7 linked regions of the Xenopus tropicalis genome follow. The protein of the gene in region 7 purifies or fractionates together with the protein of the main gene of each other region. This does not show direct contact. Links are inferred from orthologs where the notes say so. Each region holds a gene or a part of one and is shown on either strand. Other genes may lie near its edges. The genes, in order: per1, fam110b, fam83d, snx24, cry2, vps13b and csnk1d.

Region 1 (3,500 bases), on a different chromosome or scaffold from region 7:
CCGTTTCATCCACTTGTCGCCTCTCCGCCACCCTCCTCTCCTACCGCCGCACAGTCCCCTCCCTCTTCCATCATTATGGACAAGTCTAGATCCTCATCGTATGGGGGGCCGTCGGGGGAGCAGCCCGTGCAAGACTGGGGGGTGGGGGGGGGAATGGGAAACGGGAGTTATTGTACAAGCACATATAAAACCAACGCTAAATGCAATATATATATGTATAATATACAGTCGGGTCATTTCCTTATAAACGGTGCTTAGTGATGTCATCGGAGCTTAGTGATGTCATTTCTGTAACATGACTCACTAAAACGTGTCTATTATAATAAATGAAGGACCCCCTGTTGTGAAATATGAGGATATTAGAAGTCACCTCCTGATCGGTATATGGTCATGGAACTCCTCGGTGTATTATAATCTCCTTATATTTTACAACAGGGGGTACTTTATTCACAAATACAGTTTACACTCTGCAGAATGGACTTGCACATTGGGGGGCTGCTTTCTCTATAGCTTTGGAGAACCAGGCCCCCCATCCCTATCACTCTCCTCCCTAAGCGTTAGTGGGCGGGGAGAGGGAAGTGAGGGGCGTGCACATAGTGCTTGTGTTAGCTGCCTGGGCCCTCCGAAGATTTATTTGTAGGAGGGGCCTGGCGTGGTCTAGGTACGTTACTGGTCAGGGTCGGACTGGGCCGGCAGTCTTTAAGAGTTAGTGGGCGGGGAGAGGGAAGCGAGGGGCGTGCACATAGTGCTTGTGTTAGCTGCCCAGGTCCTCCGGAGGTTTTTTTTTTGTAGGAGGGGCCTGGCGTGGTCTAGGTACGCTATTGGTCAGGGTCGGACTGGGCCGGCAGGACACCAGGAAAAAACCAGGCCCCCCATCCTGTCACTCTCCTCCCTAAGCGTTAGTGGGCGGGGAGAGGGAAGCGAGGGGCGTGCACTTAGTGCTTGTGTTAGCTGCCAGGGCCCTCCGGAGATTTTTTTTTTGTAGGAGGGGCCTGGCGTGGTCTAGGTACGCTATTGGTCAGGGTCGGACTGGGCCGGCAGCACACCAGGGAAAAACCAGGCCCCCCACTCCATCACTCTCCTCTCTAAGAGTTAGTGGGCGGGGAGAGGGAAGCGAGGGGCGTGCACATGTGCTTGTGTTAGCTGTCTGGGCCCCTTTAAAGAATTTTTTGTAGGAGGGGCCTGGCGTGGTCTAGGTACGCCATTGGTCAGGGTCGGACTGTGCCGGCAGTCTTTAAGAGTTAGTGGGCGGGGAGAGGGAAGCGAGGGGCATGCACATAGTGCTTGTGTTAGCTGTCAGGGCCCCTTTAAAGAATTTTTTGTAGGAGGGGCCTGGCGTGGTCTTGGTACACTATTGGTCAGGATCGAACTGGGCCGGCAGGACAGGTGTGGCGCACCTAGACCCCACCAGGCCCCTCCTACAAAAAAATCCCTAGCTGACCCAGCCCTGCCTGCCAACCCAACCCCTTACATTGGTGTAACGGGTGACGCCCCTGTTGGCCACTGGTGAGCCCCTATTAGAAGGGTAGGCGCAATGCCCCAACTACACTTTACATGCAATAGACAGAAGGGTAACAGGACAGACCCCCAGAGCCCCCCAGAGTGTTGCTAGGTGGGTGTTGCTAGGAGGGAAAAGCATTAGTACATATCCCCCTACATCGGGCAGCCTCCGTTGCCGCGGCCCGTACTCACGGTGATGTTGATGACATGGGGTAGGCGGCCTCTCCTCACCCAGCTGTGCACCTCCCCCAACTCCCTCTTCTGCTCCTCGCTGAATTTCGGTTGGTGCCTCTGGAGCTGCCTGAGCTTCTCTCTATCTTCCTGCAGGACGCGCTCCATATCCCTGTTGGGGAGGTTGAAGGGGATGAGTCCCAGAAGTGATGGGGGTCGAGGAGAGAAGGAAGCCCTGGAGCAAGAAAGGCATGTACCCCACATAGACACCGTCGGCCTAGCGCCCCTACCTGGGTGGGAGCTGGTATGACATCATCACGTCGTGGTCGGCGTTGGCCATTAGGAGCCAGAGGGGGTCCTGCATGACGTATCGGATCACTTTCCTCTCCGCCTCGTCCCTCTCCGACTTCTTTCCTCGCAAGTCCCCCTCCGAGGAGTCGATGCTCCCGAAGTACTTGCTGGTGTTGCTGCTCTCGCTGCTTCCTGATTGGAGAAAGAAAGACTGGCGGTTATATTTCAAGTTATACATTTAGTACGAAGCCCCACCCACCCTAGAAAATGTAAAGGGAAAGTTAACCTTTGAGTTAACTCTCAGTATGATGTAGAGATTCATAGTCTGAGAGAGTTTGCAATTGGTCTAGGAATCCATTATTGTCTTCAGGAAGGGCTCTCAGGTTTGGAATGTTAGCAGTTATCTGGTTGCTATGGTTCAAACTACCTTAGCAACCGGGGAGTGGTTTAAATGAGAGACTAGGAGAGGCTATAGGAGTAATGCATGATGTGACTCACTTGTGCCACAGGCGGAGGTGCTCCCCCCGTTGGATCCCATGGAGCCGGAGGCAGCGGACCCTGTTCCGGAGCACGAATCCTCCTGCAGGAGCAGATCTAATAGGTCGCTGGAGCTGGAGAGTGCGTCGTTGTGGGAGGAGGACTCGTGGGGGTCGCCCTAGCAGGGGGAAATAGCAAAACATCACTGGGGGGGCAGTTGTAGGGACACGTTTGGGCACAATGGGGAGGAACAGGAAGTGAAGCCAATAAATATTATGCTTGTACCCACCATGCAGTTCTCCGCCGGGCTGTTCTCTTCTGCATTTCCTGTTCCTGTGTTGGTTCCGCCTCCGCCTACAGATGTCCCGGGTGCTGCTCCTCCTTTACCTCCCTTAACTTCTTCTTCCAGCTCCCACTCCCCCCCTCCTCCTGCCCCGGGTTGAGGCAATTCCTCCATCTGCAGCAGGTCAAGCTGCAGGGGGGAGCTGCAACGAGACGGGAAGAGGCGATGGGGAGGGGAAGAGGAGCGGGAAGGTGGAGCACAAGGTGCAGCAGGAGCTGGAGGAGGAGGAGCCGGAGGAGGGGCTTCAGGTGCAGCAGGCGGGGTCTCAGTAGAAGGGGCAAAAGGAGGAAACCCATTAACCCCAGGGTAGAAAGGAGGTGCAACTGGAGGAGGCTGGAAGAGGTAGTTGGGCAGCACTAAAGCTACAATAGGAGTGACGAGTGGGTATCTGGGGACAGCTGGGGTGGGGTCAGGAGCCCGTGGGGGGTACATGGGCAGGGGGTATCCAGGAATAACGGGAGGAGGGGGAGGTAGAAGGTTGGCATCTAGGAGGTTGTGCGTTTGCATGGAGCTGGAGGAGGGGGATTTGCCTTGCTTAGGGCGCTTGGCTTTTGATTTGCCACTCTTGCCCCGGCCACCCCCTGCGCGTGATTCTCCCTTGGATGGCGACAGAGGATTGCTGGAGGCGGCATGGTGGTGCTGGGGGGCACGCGGAGGCTTTGCACCTACAGAGAGGAAAAACCGCTGTCACGTCTACTGTTCTTACAGAAAGGCAAGA
Region 2 (3,969 bases), on a different chromosome or scaffold from region 7:
TTGATGGCATCATCATGGCAGTCTGATTGCATTGCATGAAACTTGATGAGCACAACAATGGGAAGAACAGGATCACATATTCACTCCACTCCACAGTACTCCACTCAGAATTCTTTTGCAGTATTCATTGTTAAGGTGTGTATCCTTGCACTGAAAGTTTAAAAACCAAGTCCTCCTGTACAATATACTCATGGCTTGTAACAGTCTCTTGGGGCTTTATAGCCCCAACATAAGACCCCAAAATTATCATTACACATAAGATATGGCTTCACACTTTCACAAGATATCAGGTTGAACTTATAGTATTAGAAGTCAGACCCACTGAACAGTTCTGTTGAGCTGGCCCTAATGTAGAACAAGCAGAAAATCACCTGAAAATACAGTTAACAGCAATATATAAGAACACAAGATGTAATCTTATTGTTTATATCAGCCATCCGGACAGCGAAACATTGAAGCAATTGGGGCCATTATTTACCTTCCAGTCTCCTGTAGGGTTTCAGAGTCTATGGGAATAATATGGTACATATGCTAAGTCCAGGAGTAGAGGAGGAGGGTGGATCCAAAAGAAAAGTAGACAGTAATTGGTAGTTTAATGGGGGGCTCCATAGAATATCTGGCTGTAGATACTGGCACCAAATGCTTTATATATACATACATATATAGCAAATATTTAGCTGGGCCTTTTCTTGCCACTTAATGTAATTTTTCACCAGTTCACCATGCAATAGTCTCCGGGACTAGGCTAGTGTTAACCCTGATGGCAGCTTACAGAGGGATGCAAGTAGCTGTTAATGTGATTTTGACAGATTTAAAAATTGGTGCCCAGTATACCCCCGTGATCCTTGTCAGGGGCATCAAATCTCCTGTGGGCAGTACATCTGCTGAACCTACACTAGAGCGGAGATTCAGACAGCAGCCTGGAGCTTCTCTGTTGGAGGAATGCAGAAACTGTAAAGCTTCAACTGAGTAGAGTTTGTGCCCATAACAGGAATACAGACACAGGGAAAAACATTGGGCACCAATGTTTCCTTGCTATACAACTCCTGCATCAGGTCTGCAAAATGTAATTTTAAATGTAATTACAGAACTCAGACATTTATAAAGGATTCTGTGACAGCAGCTTGACCTGTGAGATTGTTGTTTCGCAATGATACACTGCTGATCCATAGTCGCTAATTAAAAACATATGCTTTCCAACAGAGCATCACAGTCCAGCCTGCTGCCTTTTCAATACTACTCCCTGGATCTCCCCGTAACCTTTGGGTTGGATGCTGAGAGTTGAAGTTCAAGCACAGCTAGAAAGCCACAGGTTGGACAATATTATTATTTCAAGCCAACAAACAGAGCCAATCTGTGCTTTTCTTACAGCAAAGAACTGACAAAGGAAAGCGGAAACCTTATAAAAACAACGAGAACAATCAATGAGCAGTGCTGGCAGCGGTTAAACAAACCTTCCCTCCAGGACTTTCTCCTTACAGTAAAAACCTTGCATGTGGCCTCTCTCACCGAATTCCCGTACACAAATGAACAGGCAAGTGCAAGCTTCTACGCAAGCGTCAAGCTTATTGGGGCTCATTTACTGAGCAGCAGCACTTCATAGTGGGTGGAATGGGTGTGCTTTATAGAGCTCAGATTTTTTCGGTAAGATACAACTCTACTGGAGGGGCTACAATGATAGAGCCTACAGTGATAGAGCTTATAGTGATAGAGGCTACAGTGATAGAGGCTACAGTGATAGAGGCTACAGTGATAGAGGCTACAGTGATAGAGGCTACAGTGATAGAGGCTACAGTGATAGAGGCTACAGTGATAGAGGCTACAGTGATAGAGGCTACAGTGATAGAGGCTACAGTGATAGAGGCTACAGTGATAGAGGCTACAGTGATAGAGGCTACAGTGATAGAGGCTACAGTGATAGAGGCTACAGTGATAGAGGCTACAGTGATAGAGGCTACAGTGATAGAGGCTACAGTGATAGAGGCTACAGTGATAGAGCTTACAGTGATAGAGCTTACAGTGATAGAGCTTACAGTGATAGAGCTTACAGTGATAGAGCTTACAGTGATAGAGCTTACAGTGATAGAGCTCCTTGAATCCAACTACTAGGGGCCTCGGAAGCCCACAACAACAACCAACCCCATGCCATGGTCCCTGCACCTTATCCTTGTCAATGGGGCGCAGACTGCCTGACAAGAAGGCACAGGGCAGTACCTTTTGCATAAAGCACAAAAATGGGGTGCATAACAGCCATGCAAGTGCAGCCTGCACCCCTCAGCACACATTTTAAGACAAATTCCAGATCCAATAATAAAGAGAGCGCAGGGTTAACCAGCATTGGCTCCAGCATACATGTGGCATCACTGCACAAAGTCCCACTATGCTCAACACTGATTGGCTAGCATACCATAAAGGTCAAATAAAACCCGATCTGCGTTATTTAAATAGGCAATTAAGTCCCGTGAAATCATGTGTTTGGCTGAAGCAAAACAAAACGATGAGCCTATCTGTAGGCAGTCATTCAATAATCCCGGGCTCTTTCATTGGTAAAAGTGACTGTTACAAAGAAAAGATGCAACGTTACCGTGTCTGTCTCCTATTGCATCTGTACAGACGCAGAGTCACAACACCGATGCACAAAGCGCAAATAAGCTGCTGATGGGTTCAGGCACAGGATAGCAGTGAATTAAATCTGCTTTATTCAGCCTGCAGGAACAGCTCAGCCCTTTCCACTTCCTGGGGAGGGGGAGGGATCACTCGCACACATTATACCGCTTCTCCTTTTTTTTTCGATATTTTATTGGGATTTGAAGAGTATATTGGCGCCACCTAGCGACTGGCTGGAAATCGTGCTTGATTTATGAGTTTAGGGTTCATTAGGAGCAATACGGGTAATGAGGAGCGGCAGCTTATTGGCCAGTGAGTGCAGGTAAGGGATAGAGGGGAGGGCTCAGGGATTCTGTGAAAATGGATATAGGTATAGCCCCACCCCCCCACATTGAACAATAGAGCTTGCCTGGCAGGTCTCAGAAACATGAGGAGGGTATGGGGGCAGGGAGGTGGGCTTAAAAGCGGCAACCTGTAACACATAGAGCCAACCAACCTTTTTCCCGCGTTGTGTTTCAGAGAAGAACTTGCTGCGTATAGAGGAGGCAAAGAATCCGAATCAGGCAAAGAAAGTCTCTTCTCAAGGAAAAGCTAACGCTGGGCAAATTATCGCGCCCAAAAGTGACTAAAATCGCAACCAGACCAGTTGCTTCTTCTATATAAACGCACCAGCACTGGGAACGCTACAGCAGCTCCTCCCATGTACTCTTTGCTTTGATTCAATGGGTATAAATGTGCAGCAAAGTAATATCCTGGGGTATTATGAATGTTTCTGCCCACAGCAGGGGATACACAGGCTCTGCCTTCACTGAATGGGTAGGTGAGTGACTAAGGTGGGAGACATTCACTCAAGTTGTAGGGTTTAAGCTGGCCATACACGTGGCGATCCGATGGTCGCACGAAACATAGTCAGATCCGCCACACACAGTCAGGGCTGAAACGGCAGATAAGGAGGTAGAAACAATAGGATTTCTACCTCCTGTCGATTCAGCCCTGACGGCAGATTTTGGTCAGGTGCCTTCTATGGCGCCCGATCAAAATTTTCTAACCTGGCCGATCGGCGAGTCGTCCGATATCAGCAGCTTCCTGCGATATCGGTCGACTCGCCGACATGCCATACACGCACCAAATATCGTACGAAACGAGGTTTCGTACGATAGTATCAGTGCGTGTATGGCCAGCTTTAGAATGGGTTCTTTTCCTCATAGATTTGAATATGTTTAATTAGCAGTGCCTAATTGCAGCAGGAAGTTACCTGGGTCCCAAGAGAATACCTGCATGGCACAATGCAACCCCAGACACTCAAGAAACCTTGTGCTTCTACATATTTAAGTTGCAGGTGTGATCTGCCCTGTGCCACTG
Region 3 (3,500 bases), about 17 Mb from region 7:
AGGTGGTAATAAAAGCTGTAATTGCCTATTTAATAGCCCCTATGAGGACTTACATCCTATAGAAGGCTCTGTTTGGCATTACACTGAGTTTTTATGCAGTCAAAACTTGCCTCCTAACCAGAAATTCAAAAATAAGCACCTACTTTGAGGCCACTGGGAGCAACATCCACGCGGTTGGAGAGCAACATGTTGCTCACGAGCCACTGGTTGGGGATCACTGGCTTACAGACAGCATGCAGGAACTACATGACCCACAATGCATTGCACTGTAATGTTACTTTCCTTATTGACATCACATGTGCAGGGGAGGATGCAGGCTGAGGACAGGTGACTACTGTTACATTTGTTACTGTTACAGCCAGATCAACAGGGGGTGGGGCTTAGGCAACTGTTCCAAACCATATTATTATATTAAAAATTATAAAAAGAAGTTCCCCTTTAAAGTGTCCATAAACCTTGCCAAATGAGTGTATCTTTCTCCAATATGCCCACCTTGAGGTGGGTGATATTAGATTGACCCAATCATTTGGCCCAAGGGCCTTACAATCAGATCACATGGATGGGAAACAGGCCATTGGGACGAGGACGTCATAATCACACCCATGTACTCCTCAGCCCGACAGGATTCTTAAACCTGGTCGATGTCTGGCCAATTTTCAGCCAGGTATTGGTCGTTGAGGCCCATTCAAGAGCCCCGTACATGTTGGGGGGGGGAGGTTCTGAAGTGACTGTTTGCCACAAAACAAGCCAAGCTTGTGGTTTTAGGGTGAAGCCTTTTTATGTGAATAATAAAATGATTTATTTTAATCTGCCTGGTTGGTGCTCCATGCTAAGGACTGATAAAAGGGCCCCTTCATGACACAGTATCTGCTGACTTGGACCGTCAGCAAATTTTATTGTTCCATGAGCGTTGGGCAAGTGTGTCACCTTCCAGCTAGGGCCACCATGTTGTACACAAATACTTCTTCTAGCAATAATTTGGCAAATATGTTTTTGAGGGAAGGAAGGGTCTGTACTCCCCTTTTGTTAGGTGGGATCAGCCTCGTGTCAATAGTTATTGCTGGACTGACCAACCTTTTCATTTTGTTTTCAGCTTCACCTGGACTGATGGAAAGCTGAACAGCAGTAACATACTTGTATTGTCTGGACAAGTAGTTGAGAAGTTTGACCTGCAGTTCAGGATTCTTTATGCCCAGTCCAACCCAATCAGTGCCAAGCTTCTGTCAGCTATAAGATCCCATACTGTTGGCCTAGACAAGCTTCCCTGCAAGATGCCTGCCTACAAGAAACCTACATTGAGCAGCCTTCTGCGGATGGATCTGGCCAAACTCTCAAGCACCCCGAAAAGACAACTGGATGAATGTGCCGCCAAATACAACCGAGATGTTGTAGACAAAGCTGTAGAGGATGAGTGGCTCCAGAACTGTGACATCATCTCCGGGCTCAAGGAGATGCGGACGGTGGAAGTTCAGACAGAGCCGTGGGAGGGGAAGAATGAAGTAAGAATGGCAGATGTTGGCATACAGACTTCTGTATCTGCTACAAATGCTGGCACGCAGACCTCTGTACTATCAAAAATGGCTTCCACCCAAACCATAATGGTTTCAAGATCAATTACTACTCAAACAACCGATCCGTCACAATCTGCAACCCAGGCACCAGCAATTGCATCTACCACGGGCAGGCTCTCCAACTCCTCTGACTCTTCCTCGTCCTCTTTTTCTTCTGCTTCAACAACCAGCACCGACTCAAACTGTTCCATAAAGTCATCTGACTTTAATGCCGCGGCCTTTTATCAACCCAACTATCATCTGAGAGACAGCTTCAAGAAATTGTCCAAGGACAGACAGTACCACTACTCCACTATCCGTTCCAAGCTCAACCACATGGTGTCCATACTGTCTAACCGCAACCGCGTACCTAATGCTTACATGGCCAATGATGCCCCATGTTATGGACTACAGAGGAGAGATTTTGTGCACAGCAGCCTCCTCAATCTTCGAGATGGGGTGCGCTTTTATCCCAACATGTGACTGGGCTTGGATTCCAGGTCTAAAATGTTCTTTTAAGCCTTTTCAGTGTGTCCTTTATGTGCTATACTACCGCTTTATATCACTTTGAAGCACTTTAGTTCTTTCCAGTGCCTTAAAATGAGAGGCATGCTGTACTCTCCAACATTCGGGCAACAGAATATTTTTGACTAAACCGCTTTACAGTAAAAGATGTTTCTAGTGTTCTTACCATCTCCCCCTGTCCCTTGAGGGGAGAAGCCTAGCCTTAGGCATTAAAAGAAATGACAAGTTAGGAATCGTTTGGATAAGAGCAACAAGTTCAGACTCCTTTTCTATTGTAGGCGGAGGAGAAGGAGATTTCATGTCACCTGCCGTTTGAAACCCCTCAGGGTGGTTGCTTTGAGTTCATCAGAAACAAAATAAATGTGCACTTTCCCTTGCTCTGTTATCAGACCAGTGCCTTGCATAAAATGACCCAATGACTGCCATGTTTACTGTGCTTTTAGTCCGTTCCCCATGCACTACTACACGCCCACAGTGACTACCCAGCTGCTTGTATGTACAGTAATTATGGAGGCCAGCTCTGTCATTTTTTTGCAAATTAGTAGCCCTTTGGCCTGTGGAAGAGACTAAAATAACTGCCATCCTGAATGGCATTTTATTGGTCCTGCTGTGTTCTTTTTATTGTTTCCCTGAGGACCATCTCAATGTGACCCACCTAATATGAGTATATGGGTAAATATTTAATTCGGAGGCAGTCTAATGAGTAAGTAGAACTTTACACCTTAAGGGTAATCATACTTGGCTGGGAACAGGAATGGTCTCATGTTTTAAAGGCAACAAAGCCAGTTTTTTTAACTAGTTTAAATGCACTGTTTGCACAATGCAAATGTTCAACACACAACCCACACTGCTACTGGCAAAAATAACAAGAAAAATAATATAATTTGCACATCTGTATACTGATATTGCACATACCCGGAGCACCCTGTACACCTGTGAGAGGACCAGCAGTTCATGCACCTTCTATTTCTTTTGTTTCCTATGATAAATTTACCTGTGTTGCTATATTTGTATCATCACTAGGTGTGTATATAGGCCCTGTGCCTAAACCTAGCACACCTTCACCAGACTAAAGGACATGTGTGCATGGGTATAGTCTTACAGAATGACTGAAAAAGACACAAACACAAAAATATATATATAATAAATATTTATAAGCCTGCATTGTAGGAATGTTTGCAGTAATACTAATACTTCTTTTTTGCAACTGAGATAGATTAACCCTTTCCCCGAGTATTTACTATGTGTTATAACCCTGGCATCCGATTTTATTTGACTTTCATCAAAGAAATATTTGTTTTTGAGTCCATTGCTGCACCTTCTGAAAACAAAAGACTGGGTTGGAAACACAGCGGAATAATCTGGAGAAAGAATGCCCTTGGTGTCTCTAAGAGAAGGAGATTACATATCCCACACACACCCCTT
Region 4 (4,292 bases), on a different chromosome or scaffold from region 7:
ACTTTGGCAGCAGATGCTGACATTAGCGCTGGACAGTCATATGGGAATGGGAACTTCTTTTTAGAGATGTACTAATCTAAAAACTAGTGTACCATTCTTCACATGCCTCTATGTCACTCACCATCATGAGACAACAGGGTGCCACTGGGTGGCAGGAACTGTGCAAGGAATCCAGCCCCGGAGCCATACAGAAAGAGGAAACTCTCAATAAAATGATTCTGGATGAGTTAATAAATGCATTCTGCAAGGCTGTGCTCAAACCTCTGGAGCCACAAGGGGGTGGAGGTGAAAGACTAATCTATATACATGATGATCCCTGTATACATAATTTCTTTGCCATATTGTTTTTAGGATTTAGTTCTCCTTTAATAATGCCAGAAATTTATAAGCATTGTGCTATCATGTATGAAATAACATTACGTAAATACTAAAGACAGGATCACAACATCCAAGCTGGGCACGCCAAAGGCATGATATCAAGACTATACAGCACACTCTTAAAACCCAATATCACTGCACATACCGACTGTTCCAAAATAGCTTGGCAAGAAAATATTGGGCAGATTGATCAAGAGGAAAGGTAGGAAGTCCTTTGAATCCCCCAAATACGCTTTCCCATATACAAGGCAACGTACAATCCAAAGATACTCTTTTCAAAGAGTCTCTCCGACTCATACGTCAAAACAGACACTACATGCCCCAGATGCCACTCAGATAGCCCCACTTCTACCACCTAATATGGACCTGCCGGCCCTTATCAATTACTGGAAGCAGGTAACCCAATTTATGCATGATGTGATGGGATCGCCAGTTCCATTGGATCCCAAAGTATGCCTACTGGCTTTTATTGAACACCTTTACCTAATACGCATGTGTCAAACACAAGGCCCGCGGGCTGAATACAGCCCTTCTGGCTGTTTTATGTGGCCCCTGGTGACTGTGCCTGACCGTACAGTATCTTAATAAAAAATTTGCCAGGCAACTTAGCCTGTATTTTAGATTTCGGCCCCTTATATGATTGAGTTTGACACCCCTGCCCTAATACATAAGAACGTCAATGGCTGAGTTACTTTACCTGGCCCGTAAACACATAACAAGTAAGTGGCTATCTATACAACGGTTGGCTGGCTCTGGTAAACCAAGCATTTCCCAATACAAAACTGGGGTACCCAGACAAATACAACAAAGTATGGAGCCCTTGGCTCCAAAACCACCGTAAAGCACTACATTCATAACCAAATTCTTTTACGACCACAGAGTCTTGCATTATTGATCAATGGTAATGGAGGCGGGCCAAGTCGGCCGGGCGCCCCCCTCCCCTGCAGGGACGCCCGTAGAGGAGGGAGCGCTGGGCGCAATACACGCAGATGCTGTGCAGGGAGGCAGCACAGAGAAATGAAGTCGGGGGAACAAATCCCGGACTAGGGGTGGCAAAAGAGGTACCTGCCTAGCGCCCCTTCACTGTTGCGCCCTAGGCAGGTGCTTCTTCTGTCTACTCCTAGTTCCGGCCCTGAATGGTAACTCCTATGGCTCATATATAAACTATGTAAAAATTATATCTTCAAACTTGAAACCATTTTTAAAATACTGTAATACTGCACTTCCCATCTACCTGCTTTTACTAATGTGCTATAACTCTGTTATCCTTATTATTTTTGTTTAAGAATTTTATAAAGTGTTGAATAAAAAATAAAAAAGACAGGATCACAGCAAAGACTGTGACTATCTTTCGTGAAAAATTCAGCTGAATTCTGAACCAAATCAGAAGGCAAGAAAGGGGATAAAAAGTTTCTGATTTCTTTGTTTGACCAAGTCACTTGATTTTAAGGGGTTCAAGGGCTGCATATAAAAAACTCCACAAATGCAAAGTACTTCAAATAACACACTTAATGAAAAGGTTAAAGGTTATTAAAGCTTATCATGTATTAAACCACATGCATTCATTTAGCAGAATGAAAGCTGGGGGGGGGGGGGGGGGGAGAATGTGTGTATATTTATTCAACTACGGCGCCCTATTCATATAACCATCTGTAAAGTACTGCCTATACGGCACAATTACAGCCGTACAGAGCTAAAGAGCTATTAAAGGTGCATTAGGCTGTGTAGGCTCTGCCTAGGGATCATTCATGCCTTACTTGAAGGTGCTGAAGTAGAACTATCAGTTCCATGCATGACAAAAGTGCCTTTACCTTGGATTTGCTCTTGACAAGACACTAAGATTGAAAATACCTTTTCTTTTACATGACCCAGAGCTCACTTGTATAGGTTATATGTGTTTGCAGAGAGAGGTCACACTCGAAAATCCCATCCAAGAGGGACCTTCCCACTCGCACTGTTGTGCCCCCTTCCTACCCGATACAACAGGAGTTGCCAAGCCCATTGTGACCTCACCTCTTGCCTTTAACAACATTTGGAATGGGACAGAAAGCAATAGAGTGATACCGTTAATAGTTTGGTATTGCACCCTCACTATCATTGCCAGATAACGTATCATTTGCACTGGTTCCTGACAGCATTGGGTAGGGGATGAAGGCAACCGGATTTGTTTTGATTCCACCCGGTATCACCCATAGGCAAATAACAGAGAGCGTCGGTAGCTGCAGTAGCGCAGCTCTGTGACCGGCATTTGTAGTTCGTCACTAGTTGTGTCGGGGGGTGATGTGTTTTTCATTCACTAACACACACTCATTAAGCACAACCGTGCCGTTCCCTTGCAGGCAGCGCTGGCTCCCCTACCGTGTAGCCTCTCTCCATATCACTGTCTTCGTACCGGAATGATGGAATGTAAACCTCCATAGCGTTCGCTCTCCCCGGGCACGGCTCGATGAAGGCACGGCCAATGGGAAGCTTCCCAGTGATGTCACGGTTGGCGCTGAGTGCGGCCGCTACGAGCACTAACCAGCAGAGGCACTGGGCGGCACGGCGCTGGGGAGAGCCATATGGAAAGCGCTGTCATGTGACGCGTCATGTGACCGCTCTGAATGTGGAAGTTTGCCGGATTCCAGCCTTCTTGCATAACTTGCCTGATGGAGGGGCAGCTGACACGGCAAGTCATTGCCTTCTGCTTCTGTGTTTAACAACATACTGTAGCTAAACGTTGGGAAGGTGCAGCCGGCGGAAGGTTCCGCTAAGGAGACTAATAACGCAAGCACAATATATGCAGAGTCATAACACTGCGCTGGGTGTGAAAAATATGCAGTTGGCCGACTGCTGCTAAATTACTGGGCCCTATTTATAAAGGCAGCGCAAAGAGAACAAGTTAGCCTTGCCTGTAGTTATATTTAAGCAGCTGTGAACTGGCATATTTAAAGCGCTTGTTTACCTTTAAATGAACTTTTAGTGAGCTATATATAGCAATGTGTCTATGAAGATTCTCATTCATCCAGGTCATGATATACAGTATCTAGTAGAATTAAGTCTAAAACAACTGGACTTTTCTGAGTTTTTCTTGAAAACGTTTCACCACTCATCCGAGTGGCTTCTTCAAGGGGGCCTGAGACACTGCTTGTCACCAACATACGATGGCGCGTTGACATCCTTACTCCGGCAGTTTCACAACAGTTCACACTTCCAGTCATGTACTTTGAAGGATTAACACCTTCATCAATGAGAATCATGGTACCATTGTGATTGGATCATACCTTCTTACACCTGTCAGTTTCAGCTAACACCTAACTGAACAAGTTCAATGGAACCATTGTGATTGGATGCCTTTGACTGTACTACCATCAAGAGTTTAAATACCGGGGAATTCCCTACCAGTCATTTGAACTGAAGAAGCCACTCGGATGAGTGGTGAAACGTTTTCAAGAAAAACTCAGAAAAGTCCAGTTGTTTTAGACTTAATTCTACTAGATACTGTATAACATATATATAGCAATATTCTAAAACTTTGCAATTGGTTTTCATTTTTTTTTGTGGTTTTTCAGTTATTTAACTTTATGTTCTGCAGTTTTCCAGTTTGGAATTGTAGCAGTTATCTGTTTGCTAGGGCCTTAGGTTCACCTTAGCAACCAGGCAGTGGTTTGACCTAGAGAGAAGAATATGAATAGGAGAGGGACTGAAGAGAAAGGTAAAGAATATAAAATAACAATAGTAATAAACTGGTAGCCTCACAGAGCAATATTTGTTTGGTTGCTGGGGTCAGTGACCCCCATTTAAAAGCTAGAAAGATGTAGAAGAGAAAGGCAAATAATTTAAAAACTATAAAAAATTAATAATGAAGATCAGTTGCAAACTTGGTAGGTATATGACATTCTATCACATAATAAAAGTTAACTTAAACGTGAACC
Region 5 (4,176 bases), on a different chromosome or scaffold from region 7:
GGGTATATTTATCAAGCTGAGTAAAAAGTAGAGTAATGTTGCTCATAGCAGCCAATCAGATGCTTTGCTTTGGTTTTCTAACTGTTGAAATCTAATAGCTGATTGGTTGCCCTGAACAACATCACCAGTAATGCTTCACTCCACTTTTTACACAGCATGATAAATATACCCCTTAGGGTTTTCTCTGCTCAACTTGACCATGGGAAGGAGAGCAGCCCGGCAGAAACCACAGCAGAGATACAATAATTATTTATTACTACAAAAATGAGCATTTTACAAAAGCGAGTTTTATGTTTTTTTACCATAATCCTTAATGCACTGATTCTACATTCCCAGTAACACTTCCCAGCCAATGAAAACCTGAGGGGTAAAAATGACATCACTTAGGGATGTCCAGCCTGTAGCCCTTATGTTTTATTGCACTACAACTCCCAGCAACCCCCTGACGGCCTTACACAGACCATTTTACCAGGATAAGAAAACAAGACAGACAGACTGGGTGAAGAGTATTTAAAATTACATTTATGATACAAACAGCATCTGTATTTACATACACGGGAAGAATGTACATATATGAGCGGTTACACGTCAGCAGCGCTGCTCTGCTAATACATGCAATATTAACCTCTCCCCTGCCAAGGCAGAATGAGTTGCACCCTGGGAATGAGCAAGCCTCTAGTAACCCTATATACAATGTACAGAGCCAGACGCGGCACAGGCAGTTTGGCTTGAAATATCCTCCACCATCTACGCCACAGATCTCTAGCTGGAAGCGCCAAAGTGGTTGGGGAACTACAACTCCCACCAACCCCACGGGACCTGCTGTAGTTCCGCAGCAAGCCAGAGGCCCCCGTGTCGGACACCTCTTCTACAGATAAAGACGAATACCGAGCTGGGGGTTGGAGAATGCTTTAAACTAGGGCCGACAGAGAAGCTAGTAATGATATCAGCATCGCTCGTCTGGGAGCTAAGAGGTTAAATCTATTCGGGGCCCCTGTGGAAAGTGCAGCCTCCTGCTAGTCCTAATGCCATTATGGGTGCGGGCGTCTCTGTGTCTCAGCTGCTCATCTGTTGGGAGAGGAAAAACCAAGATCAGCCTCAGGTACATAAGCAAAGGAAATAATAACCCCGCCCCCATTCCTGTGCAGAACCAATTTTTGAGACCCAAACCCATAACTCACGTTGACCCACTACCCCAGAATAATGTAACATATAGTGAAGGCAGAGGCATGCTGGGAGCTGTAGTCCAGCAACATCAGGGTTGTATTCTTAAAGCAATATTGCACAATAAAACTTTTTCCCACAGCCAGCGATAAAATGCAAAAAATCCCCCAATGAGAATCCCAGCTGATCTGTATAAATCCGGCTCCATGTTCTCTGTTCCTGCAATTGGAGTTGGGAGCATTAAACCCAGTTTCCCAGCACTGAACAAGTCTGCCCTTATCCCCATGTCTGATTCCTGTGCCATATAATGAGGGGAAAATGCCATCATTATCTCTATATGTAAGGTACCAGCAAGGGGCCTGACACAGTGCTGGGAATCAGCATTCTCATTGGTCACTTCTTCTGCATTTATAATGCAGTTATTTATAAAGAGGGAAGAGAATTGCCAGAATTTCCAATTGGTTTTCATTTTTTATAGTTTTTTAAATTATTTAGCTTTTTTTCAGCATTTCCCTAGTTTGGAGCTATCTGGTTGCTAGGGTGCAGTATAGCTTAGCAACCAGGCAGTGGTTAAAATGAGAAACTGACATATGAATAGGAGGAGACCTGAATAGAACAATAAGTCATGAAAAGTAACAATCACATTATAGCTCTACAGAGCAATAGTTTTTTTATTGCGGGGTCAGCGACACCTTACCTGACAGCTGGAAAGAAGTAAAACTATAAACATTAAAAAATGAAAGACCAATTGGAAGGTTTCTAAGATCTGGACATTTTATAACATACTATCTGCTGGCTCTTCTTGATTGCAATGCAGGGAAGTGAGGAAAGGCAGTTTCCCTTTACAGACGACAGGACAAGGAATGGAGAAAGGCAGGTACCTCCCAAGTGTGTTACACTTGCTAATGGCACATTCGGCACAGGGATTTAACTGCCTCCCCAGGGGGCACATTCTACATGCCCTACGGCAGCAGCGTGGCGCATCTAGAGTCCTCTGGGTAATGCTGGTTTCCCACCCATAGATCCCATTCACAGAAAGGAAAGAATATCTAGATACAGAGATAGGGTGCCACCTGCTGGTCACATTAAACTATCCCACCTATTATTTCCCATTACATTTAACCCTTCCTGTCTCTGGGGAATAGGGCACCCAGTCCTGTTTCACTGGTTGAAATAAAACTACAGAGGGCAATATGCAACCAATACCTAGTCGCTATAAAATAAAGGACTGCCCCAAGCATGATTGGCAGCCAATAGGAAGCAAGAGCGGAATTCTCTAAAGGGTTTATCCCGGTAGCACATTTCTCCTACACACTAGGCTGGGGGATAATGTAATGGTCTTATAGGCTGGAATATAAATAGTAAAGAGTAATTCAGCCTTCCTGAGCCTGAAGCCCAACCCAGTGGGATAGGCTGGATACTAACCTGCTGATATACTGGCCAAATGGGACTAAAGTCTGATTAATTCCAGGTAGGCTCAGTTACAGAGGTACCCAGCACCCGTTACTGTACCACTGACTGTTGGATAAAGGGGATATAAACCCTGCTGCACAGCACTGCTCAACCAAACTTTACTCAGTTGTTACTGGGCTACAAATCCCAGAATAATGTAACATATAATGAAGGGTGAGGCATGCTGGGAGCTGTAGTCCAGCAACATCAGGGCTGTATTCTTAAAGCAATATTGCACAATAAAACTTTTCCCCAAATCCCCACAGCCAGCGACTGCTTTAAAATGCGAAAAATCCCCCAATGAGAATCCCAGCTGATCTGTATAAATCCGGCTCCATGTTCTCTGTTCCTGCAATTGGAGTTGGGAGCATTAAACCCAGTTTCCCAGCACTGAACAAGTCTGCCCTTATCCCCATGTCTGATTCCTGTGCCATATAATGAGGGGAAAATGCCATCATTATCTCTATATGTAAGGTACCAGCAAGGGGCCTGACACAGTGCTGGGAATCAGCATTCTTATTGTTTTTTTATCAGTAGAATTCTCATTGGTGAATTTTCTTGCATCTATAATTATGTTTTTGGCAACTTCTATAGGAAAACTAGGGGGCGCAGTGGGACAGCATCATGGCTGGGTTTACATCCCCTTTAAATTCTCAAGGAGCTACAGAGACTCCTAATGGATGACTTCACATATGGCAACGGTGTTGGTTATTGGCTACTGACCAGGGAGGGGGGTTCCGCTGCGGCGCTCAGAAGTCTTTTGCCGGCCTCTCTGTCTCAGGGGCGCACAGCACCCTGACTTTCATATGCGGCTCTTCTTCTGACACCTTGCGCTTGCGTTTGGGGGACTCGACGTTGCACAGAGACTGTTTAGGAGCTGCAACAAGAACAGAAGTAAATACAACACATAAAGACCATGTATACACTGGAAACAACATCCTTATAAATAGACATTTCCTTTCTTTTACTGCTGCCCCCCATTGAGGGAAGGGCTAAGTGCATTATGGGATTTGTAGTCTCTATGCAAGACGGTGATTAAAAGCCACAACAAGGGAGTCCAGCATTTTGAGAGCTAGAATTGTATCAGCAACAACAGCTGACTGCCTGTTCTAACCGCCACCTGCTGCACTTGTGGGTTTTATAGTCTTTCAATATCACGGGCTTTGTAGCTTTTCCTACACAGCAATTCTGAAAAGCTTTTCCTTTTAAACACAGCAAACTGAGCGATATAATGGAACCTGAAAGTGCCGACTGGGCCATCTAACTGTCATCCAATGTGTGAAGGCCCCAAAGGGCTCTATAGAAAAGTGCATTTATTCTGAACATCACAGCCAGAGGCTAGAGCATTCTGACTGAGGCCCGAGTGAGACATCAAGGTACCATCATGGAAGTCAGTGTCTTTTTGCACACGCTTGTGCTGAAAGTTTCAGCACAAAACCAAACTTGTCGGCCAATCAACAGCTGAAATATAAGAGGGTATTGGTGAAGGCAAAAAACAATGGCATGAAGTGCATACTGCTTAAAGGGGATGTAAACCCTGCTGCACTGCTCAACCAAACT
Region 6 (3,500 bases), on a different chromosome or scaffold from region 7:
CAAAAAACCAGCCCCACTTACTGTTCTCATTCAAGCTAAAGCTGCTGATATCACTACTGACTACTACAGTCCCTCCTTCCTTTCTAGAGAACCCCTCACTAGGAGAGCAATTCCCTAAGCACCACTAGGGGGAGTTCTCCCTACAGTACCCAAAGCACACCTGCCATCTAGTGCTTGGAAAACAGTGGCCCACTTTCTCTCTCTATGGGGAAACCCTACAGGGGATTCAAACCTAGCACTAGTGGCATCTCCCACAACCCTACACATATAAGTTTATGTCGTAAAATGCCACAAGTTTCCATGGATTGTAAAAAAGATACTAATGTACCACTTGCTGGGGAATTTCCAGGTTTTATTACCATCAAACAAGTCATGGTCATTTTTATCACCAGCAAAATTATGCATGTATGGTACTCTGCCATCTTCAAAATCCTCATAGTTGAAAGACAGATGAGAATATGGCCGGCATTGCAGCTACTGCAGAACCTCTTCTCCCCAGTTTGCCAGGGATATCTCTTACACAGGCTGCAACATATGTTCATGTTCACAAAAAAATGACTTTACCAATCACTTCACCAACATTAGGTGCTCTACGACACACTTTTTCAAAATAAAAAATTCTTGAGTAATATCAGTGTTATAACAATATTGTTATACAATAGGACCCTCATGGTAATAGCATATATTAACATCTAACATTTCCCAGGGTAAGGCTTCTCACTCATCCAGGGGCATTCATTCTCTATATAAATACCATAAGAGCCCATTGTCTGATGATTGTGCTGTGTGCATCTGATATGTTAGGGTATCACGTAAACCATTTTATTAAAGGCAAAACAGAACACTGCATTTAAGTTAGTTTTCCAGGACTCAGAAGTTGAAAACCACAAGCTACTGTACCTATGGTATATAGCCATTGTTACTGACCTGCCTTGCTAAAGGAACTCTTCTTAGTTGTCCCGCTGCCCATTTAGTCGTACAAAGCTTGACTCACTAACATTATTTACATTGACCATGCTACAAATGTATTTAAGCATGAAATAAACCCAATAGGATTGTTTTGCCCCCAATAAGGGGTAATTATATCTTAGTTGGGATCAAGTACAGGTACTGTTTTATTATTACAGAGAAAAGGGAATCATTTAACCATTAAATAAACCCAATAGGGCTGTTCTGCCCCCAATAAGGGGTAATTATATCTTAGTTGGGATCAAGTACAGGTACTGTTTTATTATTACAGAGAAAAAGGAAATCATTTTAAAAAATGTGAATTATTTGATTAAAGTGGAGTCCAGGGTAAATTGCCTTCACGTAATTTGGACCTTTCTGCAAGACAGCTTTCCAGATAATGGATCCCATACCTGTATTTGTCAAATGTTTGCGTGTCCTTTATATTCTGCTCAAATATTTAATGAACTTCACCGTTTGTAAATCATTATGTTGGAAGTCTTAGTTGTAAGTGTGCAGTCCAGTGGGACATGCCTTGTTGTATTAAATTATATTAAGTATTTGTTCCTGTAGACAGTATACCCCCTTATTCAACATGAATTCAAACATCATAAACATAAGTTTATGCTGAGCATACTTTTTCCATACAGTTTCGTTCTAGAGCTAAACAGGGAATTTGATGCTACTCCATGTTTAGTCCTTTCAAGGTAGATAATTAGATTACCAGTACGCAACGTCACCTTTTGTTGTGACTGTTTTGTTACGAGGAAGTTCTTTATGCAGAAGGGATTATTTGTGCATTGGTCATATAATTATCTTGCAAAGACCAAACATGGAGTTTCCCCTTTTTTGTAGCTGAAAAGTATGCTCAGCACAAGCCCTATTCATTGCACTCAGGTAGAACATGGGGGTGTACTTCCCCTTTATGCTGCAGTGCAATAACTTGTCTTCTTTATCTATAGGTCTCAGAGCCAGAGTGTTATGGTCAAATTCTTCATCACCCAGTTGAGCCTTGGAATTTTTGATGATGTCACAAATGCTAAAACATCATCGGAGCTTCTGCGCCTCACTCTGGATAATGTGTTCTTTAGCGTGACACCGGTGAGCAGCTACCTCAGACAGCCGTGTTTGGAACTCCAGGCAGATATAACATGTGGAAGTACCTTGTTCTATAGCCTGGAGATGTACTGCGGAGACCTGCAGGTGGACAACCAGTTGTACAACAAATCCAACTTCCATTTCCCAGTTCTTGTTTGCCAAGAGGAGAGAAGCGATAGTGCCAGATGGGCAAAGTCCAATGGGTTCCAAATGTCCACCAAAGAATTAGAAGCTTTCAAGGAAAGTTCCTTTGTGAAATTCTTTGTTTCTCTGTCAGTAGAACATGAAGCGTACGACCTTAATGAGCTTAGCTTTGAGATGAAACCATCTCGACTTTACTTAGAAGACACTTTTGTTTATTACGTTAAAACACTTTTTGACACCTACCTCCCGGATAGCAAAATACCGCACAGCGCAGTAAAGTTCCCAGGACCAAAGGTTAATCACCTGTTACCGGAACAAGTGAGGCTATACGCATTAGCCCTAGTTAATCCAGTGAAGCTGCGGAAGCTAACAGTGCAACCCGTCAACCTCCTGGTCAGCATTCATGCCTCCCTCAAGCTCTACATTGCCTCTGATCACACCCCATTGTCCTTCTCTGTCTTTGAACGTGGACCTATCTTCACGACAGCCAGGCAGCTGGTACATGCCCTTGCTATGCATTATGCCGCGGGTGCCCTGTTCCGAGCAGGTGAGTATGGAAAACAGTATATAATTGTTCATTGTACCAAAAAATCCTATAGCGCTATATAGTAGAGAATTGGAAAATGTAACAACAGACAGAGCTGCTTCTAAAACTCATGATATACATCATGCCTAATAAAGAGATGATGGTGCAGAACTAGATATAGTCTGCCCTAAGCTTTAAATAGACATTGACCAGTGTGATTACATTGCAAATAGGCCACTTCCAGCTCAGATCTCTGAAGAAAGCGGCTCGCAAAGCACCATGGTCAGCCAGAAAATGGATAAAACTCGAACTTTATTTACATTCTTAAAAACCCAGAACGCCTGACGCATTTCGTGCGTAGCCGCACTTAATCATAGGCAACTTCCAGCTCAGAAATAAACATGTTACCAGTGGCAGGGATAGAGGTCTGGCCTTATGGATTTTATCCCTTATGGACCTTTTTCCCTACCCATACAGGCCTCTTTCCCATACACATCCACACTCTCTGTCCTCAGTGTACTGTGATATCTTACAAGAACCACATAGGGGACAGGCCCTGGCGCAGTCACCCCCCACCCCTTTCCAGTAGTGCTGCCACTGAGTATACCATAATATACTTGTTCCTGACCTGCTTTTGTGGTGTTAAATATCAAATCATCTAAATCCAAAAAGTAATTAATGTAAATTTACTCAGTACTTCACTCATTGTATTATGTGTTTATCCAGTGTCTCTCACTGAGTAACGTACTAGAGATGCTATTACGCTTTAGTATATGGGGGTACC
Region 7 (3,500 bases):
TCTAAGATGGTACTGAGCAAAGGGTACTGCTTTGATGGCTGAGACCATAACACCCAGAACTTTCATGCAGAACCTGGCTGTGAGAGTCTATTTTATAAGTAGGGTCTTTACCAGGGACTGGAGATGAAGAATCTTGTCTTGCGGTAGGGACACCCTCTGGTCTGTGTTTCAAACACCATCCCTAGGAATATTGTTTACTGACTGGGGACCAACAAGGATTTGTTAAGGTTGAGGCACCAACAGAGTTCCTGTAGAGTGTTCATGGTAGAGAGAAGAGATCGCTGGTCCTCTGAGAGGGAAGGTGCCTTGATGAGTAGGTCATCCAGATATGGGGTTACGCCATAATCTTGGTAACTACACGTAGGGCTGAGGTCAGTCCAAATGGAAGGGGTGGAAACCGGTAGTGGTGGTTTTGAACAGCAAAACGCAAGTACCTCTGACAGGGTGGAAAATGGGGACATGAAGGCATGCATCATTAGGGTCGAGTGTGACCAGGAAAAGGTCCGGGGACACTGCTGCGATGATTGATCGAGGAGACTCCATTTTGAACCTTCACGGTCGAATGAATGTGTTGAGGTCCAAGACTGGGTGAAAAGATCTGTTTATTTTGGGGACAACAAAGAGATTTGAGTAGGAGCCTTTGAGTTGCTCTCTGGGAGGCACGAGGGTGATCACCTCTGCGCTGAGGAGATTGGAAATCACAATTTGAAAGGCTCTGGGTTTGACTGGTTCCAGGGGAAACTTAGACACAAAGAATCAGCACAGAGGGATTGATGAGAATTCCAGGTGATATCCCAGATTCACAATTTCCCGAGTTCCTCCTACAGATGTACACCATGGTGGTTGTGGCACCCAGTCACCCGAAAGAGAATTTTTCATGAGCTTGCGGTGAGGTTTATTGTTTGCCAGGAAGACCTGGACTTACCTCCAAATTGTCTTCTGCCTGAAGCAATCTGGTCTCAGGAGAGAAGATCTGGAGGTCTTATGTGTGCCGTGAAACAATATTCCTGTACAAAAGGAAAAATGTGCCTTAGGCTGCAGGAGCAAGGTACTTTTGCCCCTGTAGCTTTACTAATAACTCTGTCAAGATCAAGGCCAAACAGAAGTTTCCCCTTGAAGGGAATGGAAATCAAGTATTTGTCAGAGGAAAAATCCGCTGACCATAGCTTCATCCAGAGAGAGCTTTGAGCTGCCACTGCTAGCGCAGAAGTTCGATTGACCACTTATGCTGCATCCAGGGAAGCTTTTCAGATGCTTCCTTGATCTGGGAGACCCACCGTGAAAGCTTGCGGCAAGGGTTTCCCGACACGCTAAGCAGGGAGTCTGACCATGACTATCGTTCTGCTAACCCAGGCCATGAGCAGAGAGAAGTATCCATGGCCATGAACAAGGAGTGCAGTAAGCCTTCTAGCTTCTTGTCCATGGAGTCCTTGAAGGATGAGGCGCCTGGGAGTGCAGTGTTCTTGGAAAGCCCGGAAACAGGAGCATCCACTGAAGGTGTGGGAAGACCATTTTTCAATGAGCTCTGGTTCGAAAGGAGTCTTGAGAAATGGCGATTAGCCACTCCTGTTGAATAATCTGGTCCAAATGCGAGTGGGAAGGGAATGCTGGTAATGTCTTGTTGTGACTTTTAAACAGTCTTGGAAGAGCCTGAAGCTACCTCAGGTTCTGAGTGACAGTTTGCCTTCTGAAAGGTTAGAATCCAGAGGAAGGGGAGAAGGATTTGAGGAATCTCCTTCGCTTTCTTCCTCGGAAGGGGAAGGAGCTCTGTGTTTGGTTGACAACCTTTAGATTGTCAATTCAGGCTAAAAGCTAATAGAGAGTAAGCAAATTTTGGAATCCCCTTGGTTAGTTGGGATGCCCACTCTGGGATGGGCTGAGATGGGACTGAGGGAGGAGGTATTTCCCTGGGGGGGGACCAAGGGTTCCTCACGGGAAGCATGAGTTACCTGGGGGGGGCAGGTCCTGGGAGTTATGTGCTTTACTCTGGCGGTAGATATTTGCAGCATTTGGCACAGGCAAGAAATTTAACAGCTGTAGAGGAAGTACCCCTGGAAAACATGCTGTCATTGGATCCCTCAGACATTGTGAAGGAAGAGTAGCAGTAAGGTGCTACAAGGCAGCAGGATCCCAATGGGCAGAATGTAACTCCTCCAATTGTACAAGAACTGAGCTGGCCCACTATCCTGCAGAGGAACAGAGGCAGGAAGGAGAGGGCGTGGGGCATTCTGAGGCAGGTGTCTGCTGAACAAGCAGTGTCAGCTTAACCCTCTGTTTGTGCTCGGATAGTACAGTACAGTGCATGTGCTAAATAGCAATTTTACTGCACTAAGTTTCTAGATTTGTTCCAGGTCTTCAAGCTTTAGGTTTAGACATCTGGCTGTTAGGCTGATAATCCCTAGCTGCCTGGCATTTAATTGAATGCCAGAATTAAGCATGAAAGGCAGAGATCCAAAGATGAATATATTAAAGGGGGACTCCACCCAAACAGAACTTCAACGTTTAGTCCCTCCTTACCTGAAAGCATACTGAATGGTGCAGAAAGAGAAGAACTGTTTTGCAGCCATATTTCAGCATATAAAATGGTATTTATTCAAATGTGAGACTCATACAGTGATAGGTATATTAGGGGTTTCTGTTGTGTAGGGCTCTACTAAATGTTGGTTTGAAAGCTGGAGTTCCCTTGAAACCCAAAAATCTATCTTTCATATAAGAAAATTACCTATTCCAAGGTGGGTGTTAATAGATGCATAGCGAGCTGTTCCAGTTAAGTTCTTGTTTTCACGATATGGTATATGCTGGTGTGTGCGAGCATCTCTGTATTTTTTGGCCAGCCCAAAATCAATGATATACACTAGGTTGCCTTTCTTTCCAAGCCCCATCAGAAAGTTGTCAGGCTTCACATCCCGATGGATAAAGTTTTTGGAATGAATGTATTCAATTCGGCTGATCTATAACATAAGAAACAAATCAATTATCTATGAATCTATTATTACAGCACATGTACATTTAAAACTGGGAAAGTCATACACGATCTGGCACGACTAACTGTATGGTTTTAAATAGACTAAATGTATTGTATTCAGCCACATTGCTTTTGAACCTTGAGAAAGCTGGTACTTACAGATGCAAAGCGTTTGGACCCCCTCCCATAGCAAACGGACATTTGATCTCACATGGGAACCATGCACTGACCTGCTGCTCTCTGACCTGTGTATCCTAAGACTTTAAACCTCTCTACTAATCGACAAAAAAAAGAAAAAAAGAAAAAGCCGCACTTTTTAGAGAAGAAGTGTGGCTTTTTCTCTTTTTTCTATGGTGTTACAGCAGTGGAGCACTGCGTAAATATGGGCTGCACCCATCACTAGTTTCTTCCAGGGATAACCCTGAAGGCCCATAATAAAGGGAGAGTCTGTGCAGAAATATATATTTTTCCAAAGTTTATTATTGGCCTGACAAATTATTTTTAGTCGATTTACTTACTAACTTTTTAAGAACAG

What was found.
Region 1: the proteins of csnk1d (region 7) and per1 purify together in Homo sapiens (affinity purification with mass spectrometry; 4 studies listed by BioGRID and IntAct, counting the BioPlex papers as one, with this or other methods). This does not show direct contact. The link is inferred for Xenopus tropicalis from reciprocal best matches to the Homo sapiens genes CSNK1D and PER1.
Region 2: the proteins of csnk1d (region 7) and fam110b purify together in Homo sapiens (affinity purification with mass spectrometry; 3 studies listed by BioGRID and IntAct, counting the BioPlex papers as one, with this or other methods). This does not show direct contact. The link is inferred for Xenopus tropicalis from reciprocal best matches to the Homo sapiens genes CSNK1D and FAM110B.
Region 3: the proteins of csnk1d (region 7) and fam83d purify together in Homo sapiens (affinity purification with mass spectrometry; 4 studies listed by BioGRID and IntAct, counting the BioPlex papers as one, with this or other methods). This does not show direct contact. The link is inferred for Xenopus tropicalis from reciprocal best matches to the Homo sapiens genes CSNK1D and FAM83D.
Region 4: the proteins of csnk1d (region 7) and snx24 purify together in Homo sapiens (affinity purification with mass spectrometry; 3 studies listed by BioGRID and IntAct, counting the BioPlex papers as one, with this or other methods). This does not show direct contact. The link is inferred for Xenopus tropicalis from reciprocal best matches to the Homo sapiens genes CSNK1D and SNX24.
Region 5: the proteins of csnk1d (region 7) and cry2 purify together in Homo sapiens (affinity purification with mass spectrometry; 3 studies listed by BioGRID and IntAct, counting the BioPlex papers as one, with this or other methods). This does not show direct contact. The link is inferred for Xenopus tropicalis from reciprocal best matches to the Homo sapiens genes CSNK1D and CRY2.
Region 6: the proteins of csnk1d (region 7) and vps13b purify together in Homo sapiens (affinity purification with mass spectrometry; 3 studies listed by BioGRID and IntAct, counting the BioPlex papers as one, with this or other methods). This does not show direct contact. The link is inferred for Xenopus tropicalis from reciprocal best matches to the Homo sapiens genes CSNK1D and VPS13B.

What each region holds. Positions count from the first base shown.
Region 1 is NC_030679.2:144,457,499-144,460,998, reverse strand, and holds part of per1 (period circadian protein homolog 1), read right to left. Parts: intron 3,448-3,500; coding exon 2,729-3,447; intron 2,618-2,728; coding exon 2,461-2,617; intron 2,155-2,460; coding exon 1,962-2,154; intron 1,844-1,961; coding exon 1,693-1,843; intron 135-1,692; coding exon 6-134; 3' UTR 1-5. UniProt on the Homo sapiens protein: Transcriptional repressor which forms a core component of the circadian clock.
Region 2 is NC_030682.2:116,184,967-116,188,935, reverse strand, and holds the start of fam110b (protein FAM110B), read right to left. Parts: upstream 2,801-3,969; 5' UTR 2,585-2,800; intron 1-2,584. UniProt on the Homo sapiens protein: May be involved in tumor progression.
Region 3 is NC_030686.2:40,361,921-40,365,420, forward strand, and holds part of fam83d (protein FAM83D), read left to right. Parts: intron 1-1,093; coding exon 1,094-2,033; 3' UTR 2,034-3,500.
Region 4 is NC_030677.2:169,501,193-169,505,484, forward strand, and holds the start of snx24 (sorting nexin-24), read right to left. Parts: upstream 2,801-4,292; 5' UTR 2,797-2,800; coding exon 2,737-2,796; intron 1-2,736. UniProt on the Homo sapiens protein: May be involved in several stages of intracellular trafficking.
Region 5 is NC_030680.2:13,669,040-13,673,215, forward strand, and holds the end of cry2 (cryptochrome-2), read right to left. Parts: intron 3,494-4,176; coding exon 3,366-3,493; 3' UTR 3,340-3,365; intron 1,069-3,339; 3' UTR 501-1,068; downstream 1-500. UniProt on the Homo sapiens protein: Transcriptional repressor which forms a core component of the circadian clock.
Region 6 is NC_030682.2:128,392,182-128,395,681, reverse strand, and holds part of vps13b (vacuolar protein sorting-associated protein 13B), read left to right. Parts: intron 1-1,910; coding exon 1,911-2,737; intron 2,738-3,500. UniProt on the Homo sapiens protein: Mediates the transfer of lipids between membranes at organelle contact sites. Binds phosphatidylinositol 3-phosphate. Functions as a tethering factor in the slow endocytic recycling pathway, to assist traffic between early and recycling endosomes.
Region 7 is NC_030686.2:23,244,753-23,248,252, forward strand, and holds part of csnk1d (casein kinase I), read right to left. Parts: intron 2,952-3,500; coding exon 2,723-2,951; intron 1-2,722. UniProt on the Homo sapiens protein: Essential serine/threonine-protein kinase that regulates diverse cellular growth and survival processes including Wnt signaling, DNA repair and circadian rhythms. It can phosphorylate a large number of proteins.